4 linked regions of the Arabidopsis thaliana genome follow. The protein of the gene in region 4 interacts with the protein of the main gene of each other region in a pairwise test. Each region holds a gene or a part of one and is shown on either strand. Other genes may lie near its edges. The genes, in order: ERD2, EMP1, AT3G08930 and AT3G57220.

Evidence for each region.
Region 1: the proteins of AT3G57220 (region 4) and ERD2 interact in a protein complementation assay, tested with the Arabidopsis thaliana proteins (one large-scale study listed by BioGRID).
Region 2: the proteins of AT3G57220 (region 4) and EMP1 interact in a protein complementation assay, tested with the Arabidopsis thaliana proteins (one large-scale study listed by BioGRID).
Region 3: the proteins of AT3G57220 (region 4) and AT3G08930 interact in a protein complementation assay, tested with the Arabidopsis thaliana proteins (one large-scale study listed by BioGRID).

What each region holds. Positions count from the first base shown.
Region 1 is NC_003070.9:10,257,678-10,262,759, forward strand, and holds ERD2 (ER lumen protein retaining receptor family protein), read right to left. Parts: upstream 3,556-5,082; 5' UTR 3,230-3,555; coding exon 3,139-3,229; intron 3,132-3,138; exon of another isoform or gene 2,885-3,131; intron 2,740-2,884; coding exon 2,474-2,739; intron 1,767-2,473; coding exon 1,651-1,766; intron 1,252-1,650; coding exon 1,178-1,251; intron 1,092-1,177; coding exon 1,028-1,091; intron 940-1,027; coding exon 903-939; 3' UTR 571-902; downstream 1-570. Other genes in the region: AT1G29320 (Transducin/WD40 repeat-like superfamily protein), read left to right, coding at 76-133, 227-561. UniProt on the Arabidopsis thaliana protein: Required for the retention of luminal endoplasmic reticulum proteins. Determines the specificity of the luminal ER protein retention system. Also required for normal vesicular traffic through the Golgi. This receptor recognizes H-D-E-L.
Region 2 is NC_003076.8:3,424,126-3,429,511, forward strand, and holds EMP1 (Endomembrane protein 70 protein family), read right to left. Parts: upstream 3,773-5,386; 5' UTR 3,673-3,772; coding exon 3,535-3,672; intron 3,055-3,534; coding exon 2,890-3,054; intron 2,788-2,889; coding exon 2,678-2,787; intron 2,583-2,677; coding exon 2,471-2,582; intron 2,388-2,470; coding exon 2,275-2,387; intron 2,195-2,274; coding exon 2,044-2,194; intron 1,943-2,043; coding exon 785-1,942; 3' UTR 563-784; downstream 1-562. Other genes in the region: AT5G10830 (S-adenosyl-L-methionine-dependent methyltransferases superfamily protein), read left to right, coding at 1-524; CBSX3 (Cystathionine beta-synthase (CBS) family protein), read right to left, coding at 5,048-5,190, 5,294-5,354.
Region 3 is NC_003074.8:2,711,346-2,717,923, reverse strand, and holds AT3G08930 (LMBR1-like membrane protein), read right to left. Parts: upstream 4,613-6,578; 5' UTR 4,363-4,612; coding exon 4,013-4,362; intron 3,911-4,012; coding exon 3,825-3,910; intron 3,533-3,824; coding exon 3,417-3,532; intron 3,306-3,416; coding exon 3,195-3,305; intron 2,977-3,194; coding exon 2,878-2,976; intron 2,786-2,877; coding exon 2,663-2,785; intron 2,401-2,662; coding exon 2,338-2,400; intron 2,259-2,337; coding exon 2,194-2,258; intron 2,037-2,193; coding exon 1,927-2,036; intron 1,837-1,926; coding exon 1,722-1,836; intron 1,625-1,721; coding exon 1,559-1,624; intron 1,253-1,558; coding exon 1,142-1,252; intron 1,066-1,141; coding exon 999-1,065; intron 914-998; coding exon 866-913; 3' UTR 558-865; downstream 1-557. Other genes in the region: LHCB4.2 (light harvesting complex photosystem II), read right to left, coding at 1-207; AT3G08920 (Rhodanese/Cell cycle control phosphatase superfamily protein), read right to left, coding at 4,807-5,011, 5,211-5,650; AT3G08910 (DNAJ heat shock family protein), read left to right, coding at 6,113-6,277, 6,451-6,578.
Region 4 is NC_003074.8:21,172,395-21,177,776, reverse strand, and holds AT3G57220 (Glycosyl transferase family 4 protein), read right to left. Parts: upstream 3,383-5,382; 5' UTR 3,262-3,382; coding exon 2,894-3,261; intron 2,671-2,893; coding exon 2,583-2,670; intron 2,459-2,582; coding exon 2,367-2,458; intron 2,288-2,366; coding exon 2,169-2,287; intron 2,086-2,168; coding exon 1,970-2,085; intron 1,862-1,969; coding exon 1,734-1,861; intron 1,627-1,733; coding exon 1,540-1,626; intron 1,426-1,539; coding exon 1,365-1,425; intron 1,280-1,364; coding exon 1,239-1,279; intron 1,153-1,238; coding exon 1,032-1,152; intron 933-1,031; coding exon 873-932; 3' UTR 583-872; downstream 1-582. Other genes in the region: AGL16 (AGAMOUS-like 16), read right to left, coding at 1-67; AT3G57210 (uncharacterized protein), read left to right, coding at 3,824-3,929, 4,045-4,415.

The sequences.
Region 1 (5,082 bases), on a different chromosome or scaffold from region 4:
TATGCTCTTCAACCTTTGGACTAGTATTTTTTTGGTGAAGTTGAGTCTTACTTATATATCATTGTTTTATTGCAGGTTTTCTTGAAGCAGCATCTTACAGGTCTTGTATTCGACTCGGGCTTTTCTGGAGAAGGTTTGTTTGTTTTCTAATGCCGTTCACAAATCGCATCTATGTTTGTATTCCTCTGTTAGTATGTTTGTAAAATGATTGGATTCATGGTTGAAGCAGAGACAGCTGTAGCAAACACAGTGGCTGAGGCTGCCACAGAGGAGAAGATGACGATCATGGACCAGGAAGATGATGAAACAGAGAAGGCTCCTGTGAAAAGAAAGAAGTCAAAGAAAGAGAAACGCAGTAGAGAAATAGTCTTTGAGGGTGAAGACGATGAGGAGAATGAAGACGAGATTGAGAAGGCTCCGGTCAAAACAAAAAAGTCAAAGAAAGAGAAACGCAGTAGAGAAAAAGTCTCTGAAGGTGAAGAGAAAGACGAGCTAAGAAGCAAGAAGACACGAGAGCACAAGAAGAAGACCAAGATAGTGAAACACAATCAAGAAGACTAGGTTTAAGTTTTGAAGACACATTGTTAACTTGGCTCTGATCTGAGCTACAGTTTTGAACTAAACACTCGCACAAAAGAAACAGAGTTTGTGTGTTATCTATAAAGACTAGTTTTGATAAAACGATGCCTCTTCTCAATGTCTAAAATCGTCGGGAAAGTTACAATGTGCATTAAAGACTAAAAAAAAAACACATTTTAAACAACAATCCTGCATCATTCAATTTTCAACTCATTGTTAGAAAGAGGGAGGACCCAAATGTTAACCATGTCTTTCTTTTCTAATGTCACCATTGCTGTAACTTCCTGGATTTTGATACTATTGCAAAAAAATTCGGGTTCTTTTCAAGCCGGAAGCTTAAGTTTGGTGTTGGTTTTCCAGCTACAACAAAATCAAAAAGGATCCAAAGTCAGTAACATGATCAGTAACTATAAAGAGAATATTATTCAGACTGGTGAGGTTACTTTACCTTATGTAGTAGTAGTAGAAGAAATCCGCATAGAGAGCTGTTTGGACAAGACCAGACACACAAGCTGGAAAATGGATTTACGTAAAACATTAGCATTGAGGAAAAACAAATGGTTAAAATGCATTTAGTGCTTCTTTGTTGAAACATTACCAATCCATCTAGTGAAATGATCTTCTGTGAAATAGCGATAGATCCAGTTGATAATATAGAGTCCCCGATACGCCCTGCATGTTAATCATTGCCCATGTGAGTGCATACAGAATACTTACTCAATTTTGCACATTGAAATATTGTGCACTGGACACAAAGGTATGCATCAGAACCAAATGCATAGCAAGATGTAAAGCAGTCTGATTTCCTTTATAGAAAAAAATATAGTTCAGCTCAGCTTCCAGACGCATTAACATTAAACGGAAAACAATGTCTGGACTTTAGAAATATGCACTGATTTTTAAACACCACAATGACACTGGAGAGCGATTCTCATTGATCAAGTTAACAAGTGCATGAGCAGTGAAAGACACAGTATATATATAAGATAAACCAATTCTAAAAACAAACCCAACAGAGAAGCCAGTGGAGATCAAGTGAGCAAACGCATATGTCTGGTTAGAATTACGTACCCGAGAAAGACAACATATTGCCCAGTCAAATTGTCGACATTCCCACTTCTTTGTAGCAGAACCAACTGGGGAAGGATAGCAACTGCCTCTAAGTAGATAGAAAACGCCCAGAACACCTGAAATGGTTTGGAATGCACAGAATTAACATATTGCACAATGATTCTGGCTATCAACACAGAGAGGCCACAATGCTGCAAAAATACTTAAAGAGTGAAGGCAGTTTGCAAAGATCAGATCTTTACCAAGAGCATATACTGGAAAAATACATATGAAGGTAGTAAGGGAAAACGATCTTAGTGAAGTGCATATAAGGAGTCACTACAGTTTCTTATGACAAGATAATCAAAGAACACAATGGCCAGAAAAGTAACAGCGAGATACAGATGACACTAATCCATGGGGCACCTTATGGAACATAGGTAGGTAGGACACAGAAGATTCCATGAATGGAAGCAAACAAACCTTTCACGATGCAACAGTTTGATATTCAAAGAGTTTCTCAAAACAATCAGCGAGTGAGAGGCTACATAGGTAGTACAACGTTTAAACAAGCAAAAATAAAACTATAAACGCCGGACTCCTAATTGGTTCTGGAAGGAGTTATGTTCAGTTTCATTTACATAGACGATATTCTATTCTACACTAGCCAAGATAGTTACCAAATCCAAATGATATAAGAAGAAGGAACCGAATGAATCAAATGAATAAATAAACCAAAAACAAGATTACACAACATATGCATGTCTTCTAACAACAAGTATTCGCTTTCCTAGTCTCTACAACCTAAAAACACAAAAGCAATGTGAAATTCATATGAAAATACCTCTTGAACTGTGAATTTTTCATTCAGGATAAGTCCCAGTACAAAACACGCTAACACAACATACTGATGACGAAATGTGTCCAGGTCCTTATCGTATGACCTCCTCACAAGTGGATGCCTACGCATACACCAAACGATAGCCAAAGAGCTGGCAATGAAGACAATCTTCATGATGCTGTTGTACAGAGATACATAATCCGTAAACAGATCCAAGTACCGAGTCAAGAACACAAGCGCATAGAGCTCTTGAGTCTTGAGAGAGATTCCTAGCCAACAAAATCCAAAAGTCAACAGCAACAATGTTAGGAGCTGCACAATCTATGAGAAAATCATGAGCATCTACAAGCATTTTCCATTCCGTGTAGCAATTTTCCGTTAAACCTAATGCAATTTAGGGGTGAGAGATCTCACTCGTTTAGAAATTCCATAGTGGTTTCGAAGATTGAGATTTCACAACTATTTTGACTTGCAATTTCAATCTACCAACTCGGATTCGCCTCGAAATCGATAAATAGACCTCAACAGGATTCAAATAAGATTGCATTTGAAAGCTATGGAAAGGAAAACAAAAGGTCAAAGCAAAATGCGATTGTTTCGTCTACGAGCTCGTCTTCAAAATATACACAACACATTTCATGAAAGAGAGAGAGAGAGAGAGAACTCACCAGCGCAAGATTTCGTCGCGTAGATTTTGAGAAGAAGGATTAAGACACTGATCAAGTGACTCATATCGCCAGCAAATCTAAAGATATTCATGGTTGACCAGTAATCGATAGAGACTCACCGATTCCAAAATTTTCCGGGAAAATCCAAAAGAAGAAGAGAAAACGAAATCGAACGAATTTTCTCTCTTCAAATCGAGAGAGAAACGAAGGAAGAGAGAGAAAGAGAGGCAAGGTGCAGCACGTTTCAGGTTTTGCAGAAACTCGTTGAGAGGAGACGATGACGTGGCAATCTGGAACGGTCTTTCTTCTCTAACGTGTGTGCTTACTTATTTCCTTAAAACTGCAAATTAGTCCTTCATTATTCGATTAATTATCGAAGTTTCCCTAAATAATTACCAAAAGAGAGCGTTTTAATTTTCAAAAGTGGAGAGGTGGTGTTATCTGGTACGTCGCACCTTGGTAAACTAGAAAGCGCCAGCTATCGGTGGGTCTATATTGCATCATATTAAGCCACGTGTTAATAGAACAGTGATGTGGCAGCTTCGTACGCGACATGGTGTGGTGTTTAACTTCAATTTTAATTCCTCGTGTTATCCACGTGTTTTGTATTTGAGAAAAACAGTTAGAATGGACCGGTTAAGAGTTGGTTATTAATAGATATGGGCCTTCTGTTATTATTTATATGGGCTTTAGCTCTCTGTGATAGATTAATACCCAATGTCATACCATGAACATATGCAAACATGTTTTAAAATAAAAAATTGAATGTTGATTTTTTTTTTTTTTTTTTTTTGGTTATGGAACGAAATAGAAGTGTTTACAAACTAATGTGATTGCAAATATGTTTTTTTTTTTGGGTGTATAATAATATTTGTTCTACGGTTGTTTTGGGTTAAACAGTATAGGATTTTGAGATTTTTGTGCTAGCTGTTGTCCTGACTCCTTATGATCTAACTCATTTTTTTTTTTCTTTTTTGCAAAGATGATTGAAATGTATAGTTTAGTCCATAAAATTATAAAATGATATTCAATGCTTCGCTTCAACGTTCAAGACTTCGTTTTTCTAGTGAACTAATAGACAACCATGAAAATGATGTATGAACGTCATTTAAAACAAGAATAAATTGTATGAACGTCATGACTCATGAATATAGAGGACACGAGAAATTAAACATGTTTGTTTTTTCTTTATCGTTAGTCAAAGAAAACCTACAGTATCACTAATAATACTCTTACGTTAGACTCCGTGGTCGGTCCGCTTGTTGCCTGGAGTGTTCGACTTTATCGATTATAGAGAAGTTCTATATATAATTTTATTTAATGGCGTATTTTAAAAAATCAACTATACCATTTTCAATTGTGTATAGACTATTGACTATAGATTATAGAATTTTTCAATGGCCACTAATCAAACAGTTCTGAAATCAAACAAATAGCTTTTCTGACTACATTGAAACAGTTAAAAATAGATAACATCACGTGACGGGATTATCTATGCTACAATGAAACTACGGCAATCGACAAAGTCGCTGCTTTTGTAATTTCATGTTGTGATGATGATTAAGGTGGTTCAGACGTGTGGTTTTATAGGAAACCGACTTTGTTTACATTTACAATAATTTCTTACAATTTTTAGAAATTTTGAACGTTTTACGATGAACACAATAATTTCACATGTAAATGTAAATAGTATCAAACAAAATCATTTTGTAAATTGTAAGCGCAAATACCAAACAAAAATGAAATGAACATGTAATGTAATATGGTATTTTTGCTTATAAAAGAAGCATATAATGTAACAAAGAAAGTTTTTACTACACATTGCAAAAATATGAAATAGTTTGATGGTAAACTGATCACATAGAAAAATGTTTGAATTTAGTTGGGTTAGCTTTAGTGGATTCTTTAGTTGTAATTTGCAAAACGCAAAACTTGGTTAAAGAA
Region 2 (5,386 bases), on a different chromosome or scaffold from region 4:
ACGACGAGCTAGTGGAATTAATCGGAGGAGAAAACTCAGTGGATCTAATCACGGTCGCCCAAGGCGTACACTGGTTCGATCTCCCTAGGTTCTACTCAGTGGCCACACGACTCCTCCGTAAACCAGGCGGAATCATCGCTGTCTGGGGATACAACGACGTCATAGTGAGTCCAGAGTTCGACGCCGTCCAGTATCGGCTCCACGCCACAACGCTGCCGTTTTGGAAGTATCCGTACATTCAGCACATCTTCGATTCGTACGAAGCATTGCCGTTTCCTTTCGAAAATGTTGGGATGGGATCAGAAGGGGAGCCATTAAAGCTGGAGATGCCTAAAACGACGTCGTTTGAAGGGATCATAAGGATGTTTAAATCATGGTCGGCCATCGTCACGGCGAGAGAGAAAGGCGTCGAGTTGTTACCGGAGAGTTTGGTGAGAGAGCTTGAAACCGCTTGGGGAGGTTCTGATCTGGTTCGTTCCGTCGTTTACAAAGCTTTTATGATTGCAGGAAAAGTTAGAGTTTGATATCACCAAACCATGATTGATTGTTGTTCTCATTTGAGTTTATTTATAAAAATTGGTTATATTGCAAAAATTCTCAGAAAGTGTTGTTATTTGACAAATCAAACAAAATACACTCTATTACATATATTAAAATCTCTTTTGGTATGCAACAAAATAGAACCTAAAATGCAACAAAACCGATTTTAAAAAGAAAAATAAGATAAACTATGATCACCTTTTCTTCTTTGTTTCCTTAATCGCCATGATGATCATCATATCCTCTAATCGATCTTAACAGAGGAATAGATGAGCCTTGTGAACCAGAGACAAGCATAGAACCCTATTGTTCCTGTGAGCACAAAAAATGCGTAGGAGGCGATGAGCATGTACCCAAAGTAAAGCATCGCAGAGACCAGTTTGGTGATCTGAAGCTTTGTGAAGAAGTAGAACGTGGCATAGAGGAAGAGGTAGAGAGCTGATGAGCCTGATGTGAGGTATGATCTCCACCACCAAAGGTAGTCCTCACTGCAAAGCTGGAAGTAGCAGAGTACTACGGTTATCTCGGCGCAAGTCACAATGAGGATTACAAAGACGAGGAAGAGGAACCCAAAGATGTAGTAGAACTGGTTGAGCCAGATGGATGTGAGGATGAAGAAGAGCTCGATGAAGACTGCACCAAACGGTAAGATTCCTCCAATGAGGATTGAGAAAACCGGGTTCATGTACCAAGCTTGCTCTGGGATTTGCCTCGGGATTTTGTTGGTTTTCACTGGGTCATCAGCCGCTGGCTTCTTGAACCCAATGTAACCCCCAACAAAGACGAGAGGAACTGAGATGCCAAACCAGAGGAAGATCAAGGCGAACATTGTTCCAAAGGGGACAGCCCCAGATGACTTCTGTCCCCAGATGAGAGCGTTTAGGACAAAGAAGATTGCTGACACAACTGCAGGAAACAAGAAGGCTGTTCTGAAAGCGATTCTCTTCCACTCTGTTCCTTTGAACATTTTGTAGAGACGTGAAGAGGCGTAACCAGCAAAGAGTCCCATGAAGACCCAGAGCAAGAGCATTGCAGTCATCAGACCACCCCGATTGGAAGGGGAGAGAAATCCGAGCATGGCGAAGATCATTGTGACAAATACCATGCCTAGACACTGGACCCCTGTTCCAACATAGACGCAGAGCAGATCAGAATTGGTAGGAAGTCTGAAAACATCACCATGGACAAGCTTCCATCCTGTCTCTTCTTGAGCTTCTTCTTGAGTCTCGAGCTCGTTGTATCGTGAAATGTCACGGTAAAGGGTCCTCAGCATTATCATTGCCACCATACCAGATAGGAATAGGACGATCATCAGAGAATTGACGATAGAGAACCAGTGGATTTGGTTATCACTCATCAGAAGATAAGTATCCCATCTAGATGCCCACTTCACTTCACTTTCCTGGACAGAAACAGAAGAGGAAATCAGAAAAACTATTGAAAACAAGAATTCATGAAATTTTTTTAAGACACAAACCGCAGATTACTTAAGAAAAAACTTGCCTGGAAATCGACGTCATATGTGAAGATAATCTCCTTCTTTTGTTCAACTTCTTGAGGGGTAGCCGAGCTAACGACCAGGCGTTTCGTGTGAGGATCACAAGTCGTCAGACGGGTCTTCTCACTCCACTCTCCCTCATACTCATGCTTCACACTACAAATCAACGGAGGGAATATCAGTTCTGAATGACAGGGGATCCCAAGAGACATTCAAATTATGAACAAGAACTGCACCTGTAAGGTTTAACCTCAAATCCCACGATTCTTGCAGCATCAGTTTGGATATCTCTGTGATAGCGGACTGTAAATGCCAAGTGATTGTGCATAAAGAACTTCTGCTCTTTGCTCTGCGTATGCAAAAACAAAATTAGAAAATCGAACGATCTAGCATGAATTCCATTTAGTGTCTTAACAATTAAAACCTACTTACCCCCTCGTACTGGCCTTTAAGACCAACATGATAACCAAGCTGATAAACAACAGAGGGAGAACCCTGGTCGACTCTTTCAATTGGAACAACCAGAGGAAGGTTGTCGAGGATCCTAACACAGACCAGAAACACTTATAATAAAACTGACAGAGAAAAGCATGTTCTTCATACAAATAATCAAAGAAAAGTGCCTGTATTTGGTCTTACATGTTGACCCGGTACTCATCATCGATCTTTTCTTTAAACGCTTTAGCTGTCTTGGCATCAAGAGTGACCCGGCCGAGAATATTGCACATTTGTGCCTCCCGCATTTTAAACTGCAATTGTTTCAGCCCCGCAAGGGTTAGAGTTAAATCACAGACATAATATTTTTGACAGCCTGATGAATTACAAAATTAAAAATTGAATACGAGACTAACCGAGTATGGGGCATTCTCAATCCGGTCACCCCGAAGCACTTCTCCAAGATTCTCAGTACTGTCCACAATCTTGCTAGGGCGACAAAAAGGAAGGGAGTAATACGAGTATGGAAGCTGAGTCTTTATGGAAGTTAATTTATTCACTTTCACCTTCAGCTCATCACCCTGCAACATACAAGAAAACAAGACTCAAAATTTGAATATGATTTTGAAGTGAAACATGCAAGTCTACTTTGATTGAGACTCGTCATATAACATGCAGGACCGACATTGCCCTTGTACCCATAACTTGGATTTCGTAGTAATGGCAAGCGAATCAAGAGCGAGAGATCACTAAGAACCTAACAAAGGTAATCAAAATTACAGCGAATAAGGCTAATCCAGAAGAATAAATATCGATATAGCTCGCCTAAGACGCTACATTGTTCAGATCGAGAGATTAGTGAAGCGGAAATGAAGTGAAATCACCAATTCTATTAGAAAAATAGCTAAACCAAAAGTCGGTGCATCAGCACTCCAACTCTCACTATCTCTAGCTTTCTCGGGAATCAAGAACGGATTAATCCTAGCGGAAATCGAAACGCAGATCCAGGAGATCCAAATCAGATCTAAAAGCCTAGAAGCACAAATTCGAAACGTTTTTACCTTCTCGAAATCCTGAGGAGCAACACCTGGGAGATAGAATGAGTGAGCTCCATGGATGAAGAGCAGAAAAATCAAAGCGATCGCGCATCCAGAAGATTCCAATATTCTTCTACTGCTCCTCAGAAACTCCATAGCCATGGCTGTTCCACACGAAGGAAGAAAATAACCAGATCTGAAGCTACGCTACAGTTGTATTTGACTCTTATACGCTTCGAGACTCGAGACCAAGACCCGCCTCTAATTGTGATTTAATACTTCCCGGTTTATTTTTCCGGTTTGGCTCGTTTATGTTTGATCCTTATCAACCATTAATAATTCACCACGTCACTACGCATGAAGTCTTTCTACGAGCTATAAGCCTACATAACCAATGGGCCTAACTCGATAAGCCCACCCTAGGATAAACCAATCCGATAAACCATGATTAATTAAAGTCAATCAAGATTTTTAAGCATTTGCTATACATTTTTAAGATTGTGTTAAAATGTGGTCTCAATATAATCGATAGAGAGAAAATGGGCGACGCCGCCGGAGGCTTGAGATCTGAAACGCAAGATGTGACCATGACGGACCTAGGAGAGAAAGGTCATTCTCCGGGAGACCCTCCTGATGCACCGGGTTCGTGGGTGAAGAAAGTGGTGGGGGGACATTTAGGTGGTATCCTAAATCCGAATGATATCTTAGATGATGAGTTTGTGTCTGAGCAAATGACACTGGAGTTCCCTGATGGTGAGGATGGAGAACCAGTGATAACAATTGGCAGTGAGGTATTGGCGGCGATGAATGGTTTGTTGAAGAACAGCTTGATCGTGAAAGTGCCCGGGCGTAACATGACAATATCAGCATTAAGTAGAAAGCTTCGAGAGATGTGGAAACCACGAGGAGCAATGTCTGTTGTGGATCTCCCTCGTAAGTTTTTCATGATTCGGTTCGAAGCGGAGGAGGAATACATGGCAGCGTTGACAGGAGGTCCATGGAGGGCGTTTGATCGCTATCTCATGGTGCAAGCTTGGTCACCGGAGTTTGATCCCTTGAGAGACGATATTGTGACCACACCATAATCGATTTGATTTGAAGAAAATCTATCGTTTTATATTTTGCCTTGGTTTACTTGTTTGTATTCAAAGAATTGGTTTACTTGTTAAGATATTTTTCATGGTCCAAAGACACGGAAACTTTGTACCGAAATCAAATTTTCAAAGTAATTCTATTATTTCATAACACACATGGATACTTGACGCAAGATTTGATAACAAAAACAAACATCATATCTTTCATAAAGAGATCAGAGTTTTTGGTTTTATTCTCTTGCTAAGTAAGCGCAAGAAGAGAAGCAGCACAAGGCCTTAGTTTTGACAAGTTAAACAACGAAACAACACAAAACATCAAACACAACAACAACAACAATAACAACGAGGACTGCATATTTACACTGATCTGGAAGCTTTTCAGATTCAGCAGCACAAGACCAGACGACACAACAGGGAACTCTTTTCTTTCCATTATTCAAGATCTAGTAACCTCCCTGAATATACGCATTTAGGCGTTGAAGCTCCTCTCTATGCTCATGAACCACTGCACGGACAACATCTCCTATGGACACCATTCCAATCATGCCCTTGTCTTTGATTACCGGAATATGCCTGATTCGGTTATCTGTACATTACAAAAACACAAACCCGCATTTTTATTTGCTTCAGTAGGTTTTAAACCCAAAAGCTTGTATCTTTAGTGGAAAAATATCAAGTTGTCTGCTTACCTGTCATCAGTTGCATAGCACGCAAGACCTTGGTCTCCGGTGTCACAGTGATAAGCTTATTCTGCAATTGCCAGTTCACAGATCCAGTCAGTT
Region 3 (6,578 bases), about 18 Mb from region 4:
AAGTGAACCGTCGAGATATTCGGGTGATTTTGCGCCTGGGAACCATAGAGGCCGGTCTGAGATAACCGTCTTAGCCTTTTTGGGAGATGCTTTCTTGGTTCCGAATCCGAACCGGGCTGTGAACCGGCTTGAATTGGAGCTAATGTCGGAAACCACCCGGGTACCCATGATTGAAGAAGCAGCAGCGGCGGTTGAAGTGGCGGCCATCTCCGGCGTCGTTAGTTAGTTCTGTCGCGTTTGCGGTTTGTAACTTATCTGAAGCAAATGGCGTTTTTAAGTGGCGGTATGTGTGTGGGAGAGATCTCAGAGAACGAATCTTGACGGTTAGATGGAGAAACAAATCCATCTGACGGTAGGAAACAAAATCAGCCTTATCTATAAAAAGCTCGCGTTATCTATCCTGTCTGTCTTTTAGAGTTAGATGAGGCAAGCAAGCTGATTGGGCAAAAGAAGCTATTGACGAATCGCATAGCAACGCCACTTGTCACTTCAGCAGCACATGTCCACTTGTATAGTTGTATGCCTTGCATACTAAACAAATTCAAGAATATTGATAATCCGGTTAGGTTCGGTTACAATTGTCTCAAACCACAAAGGAAGTCTCTGTCTTGTAAAAATTCGAAGAAGGCTTCTCATTAAGAAAATATGATTACATGATCGCATCCGAGACAGTACAATAGACCAAGACAGGACAGCTAACTGTTGCGCAACCAAACAGCACACTCACAAGAAATTTAATAATACATTCAGGAAAATAAACCTCAGAAGCAGAGTCTCTAGATACTTCTGGAATCGATGATGATCCAGAAACAAGTAGAAACTTTGTCGACAGCACTCAATCAGATCCCCGTGAAAACGTTTTACATTAAGAAGAGAGCTGGAAACGGCCACTAGTTTTTTTTCTTCTCCATCCCTGCCAAAACACCAAAGACCATATGATTCTACAAATACTTAATACAGAAGAGAAAACCCGAGGAGTAACATCAACGAGGACTTACAAAGGCAATGTAATATAGGAAAGTCAGTCCAGCCAGGATAACAAACCCGATTTGGAACACATTGTACCTGAAATATAAAACCTCAATAAGACGCATCACGGATATAGCATATGACTGCTATATGTTATACCACTTCTACTTACTTGTAAAGGTACTTAATTCCTCTAAGGGACTGCAATGTGTGGCCAAATATCTCCTGGGCAGCAGTGGCTTGAGCGTAATATCCAAATGCAGTGGCACAAAATTGAATCACGCTGCATTTTAAATGAACCACATTACTCAGACTGTGAGGATTAACATGTAATTGTGAGGGTAGCAGCTGTATATTAAAAGTCTTGGTTTGACATCTAATAGAGTACAAAGGATACCCAAGTGCATGAGTAAAGTAACTATAAACTTCGATTCAGGCATTCGCCGGAAAGGAAATTAGTTTTAGTGATGGCATGAAAACACTGATAAGTTAATGTATGCACATAAACATGCTTGATCTAGATCCGTTTATCAGAGTGCACTTGATCCCAACAGATACAAAGGCAGAAGAAGAGACCAGAGAGACTTACCTGATTGAACAAAGAAGAATGAGGCCGACATTGAAGAGGAAAGAGTTCATTAGAGTAGCTCCCCATCTGAAATAAGTTGATATGGCCAATCAGCAATCAAGAGAAGGTAATGAATGACCTTGGAAAATAGCCAAATAATGTTGAAACCGGTTAGATGGATTACTTCATTGGATGAATGGTAATGAAGACCAGCTTCAAACCCAGCATCATTGCCCCAGCGATAACAGCAAGTAGAAGGTAGAAACAGAAGAAAGCAAAGGCAGCAGTGCCTAAAAGACCTGGAGATTTCCACACGTACCAGCATGGAGTCAGTTAGAAACAAAGAAGAAACCTTATACAGGATAACAAGGACAAAAGTATGAACTTACCCCAAACATCATCAAGCTTAATGAAAACCTCGTTAAGAAAAGGGGAGAGAGGAGGGTCGACGAGTAGATATATGATGATGTGTGCAACCCAAGCAATGGAAACGATCAATCTACAAAGACATTAAAAATTTGCCATTTAAAAAGACGCTTAGCTCGGGAGCTTAAGAGTGCAAACCTAAATATGCAAGAACTGTATGCATTATGCATGATTTATACAACATGTAACAAAAAAAAATGCAAAGGAGGTTTCTGCTTAGATGTACTAACCCTACGATTCCAAGAATAAACTTGGCCAAGTATCCGAGCACAGTGAAAGCCCATGCAGTTTCTGCCTGGAAAAAGGTACCAGGGAATAAAATAGTTGAACAAGAAAAATATTATAGTATAAGTTCTAAGATACACTCGTCTTACCTGCTCTCCTTGAGGATACATCTCTTCTAAGAGGTTCACATCTTCCTCCAATTGGAGCAACTCCTGCAGGGTTACCACATTCAATTATAGGATTGAGGGGACACAGCTTAAATCCACAACCAAGCAAAGAAAAGCTACCAATAAAGTCAATAACCAATTCTACTATCTCACTAGCTTTTCACTACAAGTTGTCATTCTCATAACTCCACAGACGACCAAAGCCTCTTTACACACAAGGGACCAGTATGAATAGGCAAACTTTCCAAGTTGCTACTTATGAAACAAAATTTAGATAAGATACTGAACCTTGAGATATATGAGGTACCTTTTCAACTGCTTTCACATTTTTCCGCCATTTCCTGCCCTTAGCACCACTTCTTTCTTCCTGATGAAGTCCATCAGCTGCTTTCTTTAGTTCTCTTGCCTTTTTACCTAGTTCGGTTGCCTCCTGTAATATATTTATGGAGTTAATCATGCAAGAGACAGAGGGATTGACTCAAGATCTAGAGAGATGCTTCCAGAGGAGAACAATAACCAGACCTTTATATATTGTGATCGAGTGATAACAGCCTTTGGTCGCCTGATGAATGCAGTGATAAGTCCTAATGGTAGACATGCAATACCAACACCACCAAATATCTAGAAATATTTGAGAGAACAATTAGTTATCAGATTTTTTTTACTGAAATGTATAAATCAAACATCTATTTACTTCAATGGATACAGAATTATATCTTGCCATGCATCTCATCTGTTGAGAGTTTGTGTTAGTCAATGAAGAATCAACAATATAAGACAGATTAAATCCTTTCAAAGCAAACAATGCACTTCTCAACATGAAAGAACAATGGTCATACCGTGAAAAGAACTGACCCAACAATTGTCGCAAGAGCAACAACATATTCTGGAAAAGTAGTACGCATAGTCCATGTTTTCTCAGATGTGGGATTAGCTGTAAATGCTGAGCACTGCATTGATAGCCAGAGACAGGAATATGTTAAATGCTGAAACTCTCTACGGCATAAATGACTCATGATATAAAAACTAATGCTAATGCTACATTCAAGAGGCAAACATACCTGGCGAGCAGTGTTACCTATGCATGGTTGAGTATTTGAAAACTGCCAGGAAGTAGGGAAAGTGGATGTGGCAGAAGCCAAATGCCTGACCGAGAAGTCCACCTTTCCAATGACACCTACATGATGAAGATGTTACCAATAATGTTAAGGTATTCCTAGCATATAAATGGATAAGATAGATATCTCAACCCAAGCCCTGATTGGGTAATTTAAAAGCCAAAATTAACATAAGAATGCAGTCAAATCATAGAGACCAACATCAGATTCATCCTTGCCACATGCTCACTAATGGATTCAATAACCACTCCAGCTAAACAAGTATAACCTCCAGACTATCGTCATTCGTCAATACAGAAAGACGCTGAATTTCAAGTCGACAAAAGAATTGAAAACAGAGGAACAACTAACCATATAAAATTCCAAGCACCAGAGCACAAACAACAGCCGTGGTAACTACCCAAATTAAGGCACTTTTTATCCTCTTTCCAAGAGTCCTGTGAAAAAACGAAAGAAAAAAAGCCCACAAATTGTCATCAGTATTCGATTAACTCAAAACTTACAACATAGAGATACTAAAATTTCATCAAGCTACGAACTTGTCCTGGTCGCCTTCATAGAAAAACATTGCGAAGGGGATGACAAAGAACACGAGAATAGCGTCCACGATATAAATAGCAAGCCAAAGATCCTTCATGGGCAAGGTGAGATTGCAAGCTCCATTGTATATAGCATGTCGACAAGCATGCCGATTGGCCACATCAGCCGGTAACATGAGAATCGAGATCATAGCAATAGAAAGGCCAAAAACAACGACGAATTTGGGGAAATAAGCCTGGTTTGCATCATCTGGATGCTGATAGTTGACGAGAAGATAGATGCTAGAGATGAATACGATGACGCAAACAACGATCGCGACAATCACGAGAGCGAGGTTGAAATCGCCCATCGTGTGCAATGTACAACGTCCCCAATTCGAGAGATTTCGATCCCGGAACGATTTGGAAGATGTAGCACCCAATTGCAAAGGCTAGGGTTTTCTAGGAGTTCAAATTTTGAAAATTGAATTTGGGGATTTTAGTAGATCTGGATTTCTTTCTTTTTTTCCCTCTCGAAAACCAGACGAGGGAAGAAGAAAGAGGACTGGGAGAGGATGAACATTCTTGTAAATTACGAAGCTACCCTCAACAATGTGCTCTCGTGCCTAATGGCTTTGGGTGTAAACGTAAATTGTTACTAGGTTTGGAGATTAGCTGTCCGAAGCAAATGATTCGGACAAAATATTTCAACTAATGAAAGACATCTGTAAGTAATAAACCAGTGACCAATTGTGTAAACCGGACACAATTTTAAAAACAAAAAATGTCTTCACACTTGGCTCCAAAAAACCAATTTAACGACTCTTCTGGCCAAAAGACGGTAACAGTACAAGTAGTTTGAGTAAATAAAATGATACACCTCCTATCGTGGCGAACCGAAGCTCTTCGGTCCCTTCGATCTCTGGAAAATCTCCCTCGGATACTCGGTTAAACCCTCCGGTTAACCACCCTAAGCTTTTGTACCCTTCTCCGTGGAGCTTTGATACAGCCGCCAACGACCTGAGAATGAGATTGAAAAGCAACACCATTTATAACAACCAAACCGAACCAAAGAGTTCAGTTTAATTTATACTATCCAAACCAAAAGATTCTATGATCAAATCGATTGATTAATAGTTTATTTAGTTTGATAAGTTTCTCTAAAATCTGGACTAAAACTGGCAATGATTAACCAAAATGCAACATATAAAGCTGGTACCTGAGTCCTTCACCGCACACGACGAGCACTTTACTCTCTTTGTCCGGGACAGCCTCCACAACACGGAGGGCGAATTCGTCATTGATCATGGTGAATCTCTGGCCCGTCCAAAGCCCAATATATCCCAAATGAATCCATTTCTTCAGCAACGTGATCGGCCCATTGTCTGGATCTTCCACGAACAGTGGCACGTGTAAGGAACCTTTCACGCGTGCCTTTTCTCTTTCCCAAGCCGGCCTCACGTCTAACAGTATATATCCCTCCGACGCCACAACCGCATTGGCTTCTTTGGGCTCCACCGCCCGTACCTTGCCGGAAAGTATCAGCTCTTTACCGGAAACGGCGGAGATCACTGGTAATCTGTATGATTGTCGGAGGCGTCGGTTTAGTACTACTGGTAGCTTGTGGATATGGTTTAGCTGAGGAAGAAGAACTGTCATCTTTAATTCTTTTGGATTTTCAGAGGAATTTAACCAATGATATTGTTCTTCAGATTTTTCATTTTAAGAACACCCCAAAACTTCTTACTTATTTCCATTTTAGGCCCTCAGATATTTCATAATTTGACTATCACCCTCGCTTAAAGTAAAGTAACAAACATATACTAGTGGGGTCAAATGTTAAATAATAAATATATAGGGCTACTAAGTGTAAATTTCCTCTCTTTGAAACGACACCGTGATTCTTAATTCTGATAAGGTTTGACTTTTGAGCTAGGTTTGCCGAACCAAAAACAGAACCGGTAAAGACCAAATAAAAGAACCGGTCGGGTATTTCTTGTATCTCGATAAATATTTCGAACCGGTACGGAATGATCCGCTAGAGTTTTTCCCATTGAAGAAGATCGAGTGAAATTCGAAGAGCGAATCAAAGAGGAAGAAGAAGAAGGAGGAGGTATAGCAATGGGGGTCGATTATTACAAGGTTCTTCAGGTGGATCGGAATGCGAAAGACGACGACTTGAAGAAAGCTTATCGCAAACTCGCCATGAAGTGGCATCCAGACAAGAACCCTAACAACAAAAAAGACGCCGAAGCCAAATTCAAGCAGATCTCCGAAGCTTACGATGTAAATTAACAAAATGCGTTTTCTCTTTTCAGAGAGATTCCCATCTTTTGCTTGAATTTGAGCAATTGTGTAGTTTGTCAATTCACTATGGTTACTTCTCTGGCAATTAAGTAATCTTGATTTGCTTGTAGAATTGTGTTTGATAGATTCCTTATGCTGTTGGATTTTGTAAGGTTTTGAGTGATCCTCAAAAGAGAGCCATCTATGATCAATATGGAGAAGAAGGTCTAACAAGCCAGGCTCCGCCTCCCGGAGCAGGCGGCGGGTTTTCGGATGGAGGGGCTTCGTTCCGGTTCAACGG
Region 4 (5,382 bases):
TCGAGAACGTAACCTGACGGCTCGTAGAGTTATTGATCCTCTTAATCGCGATCTTGCCCCTTCCCATTTCTGCTTCTATCACTTTTACACACAAACATCATCGTCAATTTCAAATCATCATCTCCTGAATCCAGGGGAGATTTTGAATAAAATAAAAAAATTGAACATTTACCTTTTTCAAAGAATAAACTAGATCGCGGGAAACGAGATCTGGTAATCCGATAACCGGAAGGGGGAGAAGAGAAATTGGTTCAGTTCAGAGATGTGGTTTTGTTGATCGAAAGAGAAAAAGGAAAGAGAAAGAGAAAGAGAAGAGAGAGCCACATAAGGAAAGAACATATGACAATTTGGGATATTTAGGGCAAAAGAGTTTTCTTACTATATAAACATACTTCGCTTGTTATGTTTTGACACATGGCATTCTATAAGTGGGTTTCTTTTCCGATTCTCCTTCTATTTTTTTATTACATTCTTTATTATTCTAGTACGACAGTAGTCTGTCTAATATTAAAAGCGCATTTTTAAAATTCAAAAATATATGTAAATGGACACTTCATTTAATGCATGCTATATTAGCAAAACTTTAATCTAAAAATTATTTAGTTTATTAATCAAAGTTATCAAAATAAGATCAGCATTTGTAGTTAAATTTAAATTCCAAGACAAATTTGTTCTGATTCATTTCATTGGCTTTATATTGTTGAGATACACTCGCCTTTAGATGAAAACTCTCTATATAAGTGAACTAAAACGATGATTCTAGTAGATTGTTGGACATGAAGCAAAACAAGTTCTGTGTTTGTATGATTTGTGAAGGCAGAGAGAGAGATGAAAAGAGGAACAGGTTTAGAGTTTCTTCATGTTGCAGAGATTTATTTGTACCAACCAGCTAGAAAATGCCTAAGCATGAAACAAAATGCGCAAGCAAGAGCCTGCAATAGAACACACAAAACACCAATCTTGTGATTTCTCTCTCTCAGAATAAACCAACTTGTATTTAGAGATGATAATATGGGCATTAACAAGTTTACCTGGAAAACAAGAAGATGAATACATAGAGACTTTTCTGTTTTCCTACCAAAAATCCTCAAGTAGACGTTCACGAGTGTCCCATCTTTTGTTCCTGTTAACAGTCCCGTAGCAGGATCATACCTGGTTTAAAAAAGAGAGAGGAAGAGTCATGTGTTGTTTACTTGTTGGCTTTGCCTCTTATGAAAAATGGACAAAAAATAGCTTACTTGGGGAGACGATGTCGTGGACATTTGACAATGCCAGCAAGCTGAAGAGTTATACAATAGCAAGTTAGATGCTTTCAAATGTATTGAAAAGTAACAGAAAGTGTGAGATGGAGAAAGGTATCAAACCTGCGGAAGTGACAGTAAAAAGTTCAACACTTGAGGAAGAAAAAAGATTAACAGGGTTTCACTGCAAAAAGCAAAGTTTCATAAGTAGTTAGTTAATTGAAGGCTCACACATAAGTTAAATGTAAATGATGAATCTAAGTACATTGCAATAAGGACGGTATGGTTAGAAGTATACCTGAAGTGACCGAGAATGCCAACAACTGCCATAGTCATTCCAGCAAAGACTGTGTAAGTGTCTCCAACAAAAACTGCAGAAGGGTACCTAACATCACCAAAGAGGGGACATGAACGTGGTTAGAGAAAGCATTCTGCTTTGCTAGTTTACCTGATTGATTTAAGAGAAAATGACTTGAAAGATCCAAAGATTACCAATTGTAGGCAAGCATTGCCAAGGATGTTGCCATCAATGGCTGAGTAAGATAGATTGAGAAGGCATGAGCTTGATGATACTCAGTATCAACAGATGCTCCGATTTGCATAACGTTGTGTATCAGAATCTACAAGTTACTGAGATTTATCATAACTTTACTTACGAGAAACCAACAGAAGGAAAAATGGGACCAAAAAAATGAAGCATTGCGACGCATTTTGACAGCAGAACTTACAGCAGCTGCAATAACTACGGTTTGACCGATTTCAAGGCCATTCAAACCAGCGTGAATGTTAATAGAATTTGTGCAAAAGACAGCCAGTAGCGCCATATATAACTTATATATACGTCCTGCCACGATAAATATACAACTAAGGAAATGAATTTCAAAATAGCTATTGATGGTTTAACACTATATACAAGATGAATTGTACCTAGATCAAACACTTCCAAGCCAATATAAGAAACTAAAGGTTTCGGTATGACGATAGTTGTATGTCCAGCATAAGCCATCAACAGTGGAAGGGTTGCAAAAGATGGCAAGAGAAGTTTCCTGCAAATTGACAAGAGTTAATAAGAAAACAAAACTAAATCATGAATTTTTAATCCAACAAAATGAGAACTGCACCTACACTCTCCAAGGCACATCAAGGACGTCATCTACAAATCCAAGCAATATCATGAAGCAAATAGACGCCAGTGCTGCATTATACTCCACAAGCCACTGCACCGAGTCATTTAGCCAGATTGATAAATTGCATTCAAAGTAAATGAGCCAAGAGCTACCAAGTTCATAGTTCACAATAAATAAATGATCAAGCTTGAGCTTTTGAGACCAGGACACTTACCACCGAATCTTCAGTGAAATTAAAGAACTGAAATACAATCGCCACTATCAAGAAGACAATACCGACAACAATTCCCAATGACTCAGGCCTACAAAGAAATAAGATTGCTGAAAATAAGCACATCAAAAGACTTTAAGTCCCCTGAGATCAAATCAAGCGTAAACATCCATAGAACATCAATCAGAAAATGAGACATCTCATAGTTTTCCTCCTATACAAAAAATCAAATCTAAGAGACATCCATTTCTAGAAAAACGCTGAACACTAATCTGAGAACTAAACAAAGACAAATCTAAGAAGGAAAAACATACACTCTAACTTCTCCTTGAGGAGTGCCTCTTTTGTTGATATCAAAACCAAACATATTACGCCTCAGAACGTATCTAGCAGCTACAGGAATCAACTTGAGTGTGACAAAGAATCCAACCAAGCTAAGCCCAGCGTTAATGAGGATCGGACGCTTGAGCTCATTGTCAACATTGTAGTGGAAACAGAGAAGGTAAAGATAAAGCGAACACAGAAGCGAAGAGATCACGAAAATCACGCCCAATTTCGGCGGCGCGAGCTGGAAATCCTCTCCGGAAACAGAGGTCTTCTGAACCGTCGGGGAAGATGCAGGTTCAGGTAGAGCTAGTTTCTCCGAATTGGACACTGAAGGAGTTCTCTTACGAGCAGTCATGGCGGATCCGTTGGCTATTTCTGGTTCCCCGCCTCTGGATTTGCTTCTTCCACTTTTCGCTGAAGCTTCAAAGCCTGTAGCATTTAATTACAACTTGCCCACGCACAACAATACGACATCGTATCAACACCACTTATTTATGAATTATCAAAAAGGCCCAAAAAAGCAAAGTATAAAGAAATAAATAAGTCTATGGGATTCATGTGAAATTAGGCAAATTACTAATATCTTTTTTTTTTATATAATCAAAGACTCATAATGTAAGAAAGAAGTTAACAAGATTACTATTAAGAATGCATCCCATAGACTTATTTAACTTCTTTGATTATCATCTCTCTTTGTGAAATTAATTAGGCAATTACTAACTATACTATCTTTTTTTTAATCAAAGTGTAAGACTCTTGTCTTCCTTTCTTCTCTTTCTTTATCCACTCTTGCTCTTCTTTTTATTCAAATTTCGTTTTTGATTTATCAGGGGACAAACTTAAAGCTCTCTCACGTTAAGAGATACAACAGGACTCTGGCTGCTGGTGCTTGCTGTTTCTACATTACTTTGGTTGCAATGCAGCCATCTAGTGGAAGGCGTTTTACTTTTCAGACTTCCGTTTATGAAGAAGCTTGTGGCCGGCTTGTTTTGACCTCCTTTATTGCTGAAAGACGTCGTCCAGGTAATTAAATTATTATTATACTACATGTGACTCCTTACTTGGGTAGGCGTGTTCATTAACACATCATTATTATTATTACAACAACTAGTATTTCATTCATCATTGTATATTTTAGGGACAATCATTAAAACGTCGTTGGAAAGAGAATTCTACCGCATGGGTAGCTTGCCTGAGTTCCCGCTGGAGAACCCTTTCGAAAACAGAAACCGATTTTACGTGGTGGATGATGAATCAGAGCTGCGAGCCAATGACTGGATTCGTCTGTATCTGGAACTTTCTGTTGCCATATCTGATAGGACCACCACGGATCATGATCTTTCCGGCTTGAGGATTGTGTCAGTAGCCATTCAAACTATGGAGCCACCCAGTGAGTCCTCTCTCACTGCTAAGAATGCAACTGTCTACATAAGGTACATTGACTTTTGTAAGGCTCGCTGTGGTCAGAACCTTGATCGCATAGCTGTAGTTAGAAGAAACCTTCAATGAGACTACGGGATGCTTTAGTCTCGACGGTTGGAATCAAAGCTCAGATATCATACCCAAAAAGAAGGCTACGAGTAGCAAACTTCTGTCCCAGCGTTTAATTCACAAATCACGGCAGATATGGCGGCGGCGGCGCACAAACCATGGCGTTGGCTTGGCTCATCGTCTTCGCAAAACAAGATCCATAGAATCAGCCATCCGAAAGTATACCCAAAAAGGGTACGAGTCTGAGCGTGAAACTTCTCTTACGGCGTTTCAGCATTCCCAAACCATGGCGGATATCTAAACTTTGACGGCGCAAGGCTTACAAAAACCATGGCGGTTCAAAATTTGGATTAGAGATGATATTATTAAACTTATTAATTTGGTAAAATGTTAAGTGGACTGGTTTCTGTGTGTTGTACGGTTTCCTAAATGTCTCCACCTTGAATAGTTTCTGTATGTAATAAGAATTTATTTTAGATTTCAGAGTTATGTATCACATGAAAAAGGCACAAACTATAAAGTATTTAAGAATATGACCATCTTTTTCTTTTGTATCAAAGTGTAAGAAAGATTTTAACAAGAAAAGTTTAAACAATGCAGTAACTACTAAATCATACGTCCAACATGTATAAGTTCTTTTAAGTTGTTCTTATTGGTTGTTATGGTCCACAACCTTATCAGTACTTGTCAATGCCTGGTTGCTACTAATTTGACTTAAGTACTCTCTTCTAAATTATTGCTCATGTTCTCAGTCTGAAACATTAAGTTTCTGTAAGGTTTAAGTCAACATGAAGCTGTTTGTGACATCAGCTGAGTGACTCATAAGAAGCTAAAGATGTTGAGAAACCAAACTTCACATTTCAGGAAAACCATAAATCTGAAGAATGGAAGGTAGAGAGATAATTTGATACTTGATGACAGGAGTTCTGGAAACGTAATTGCAGAACCTTCCTAATTGATAAGGACCTAGCAAAACAGAGCGAGA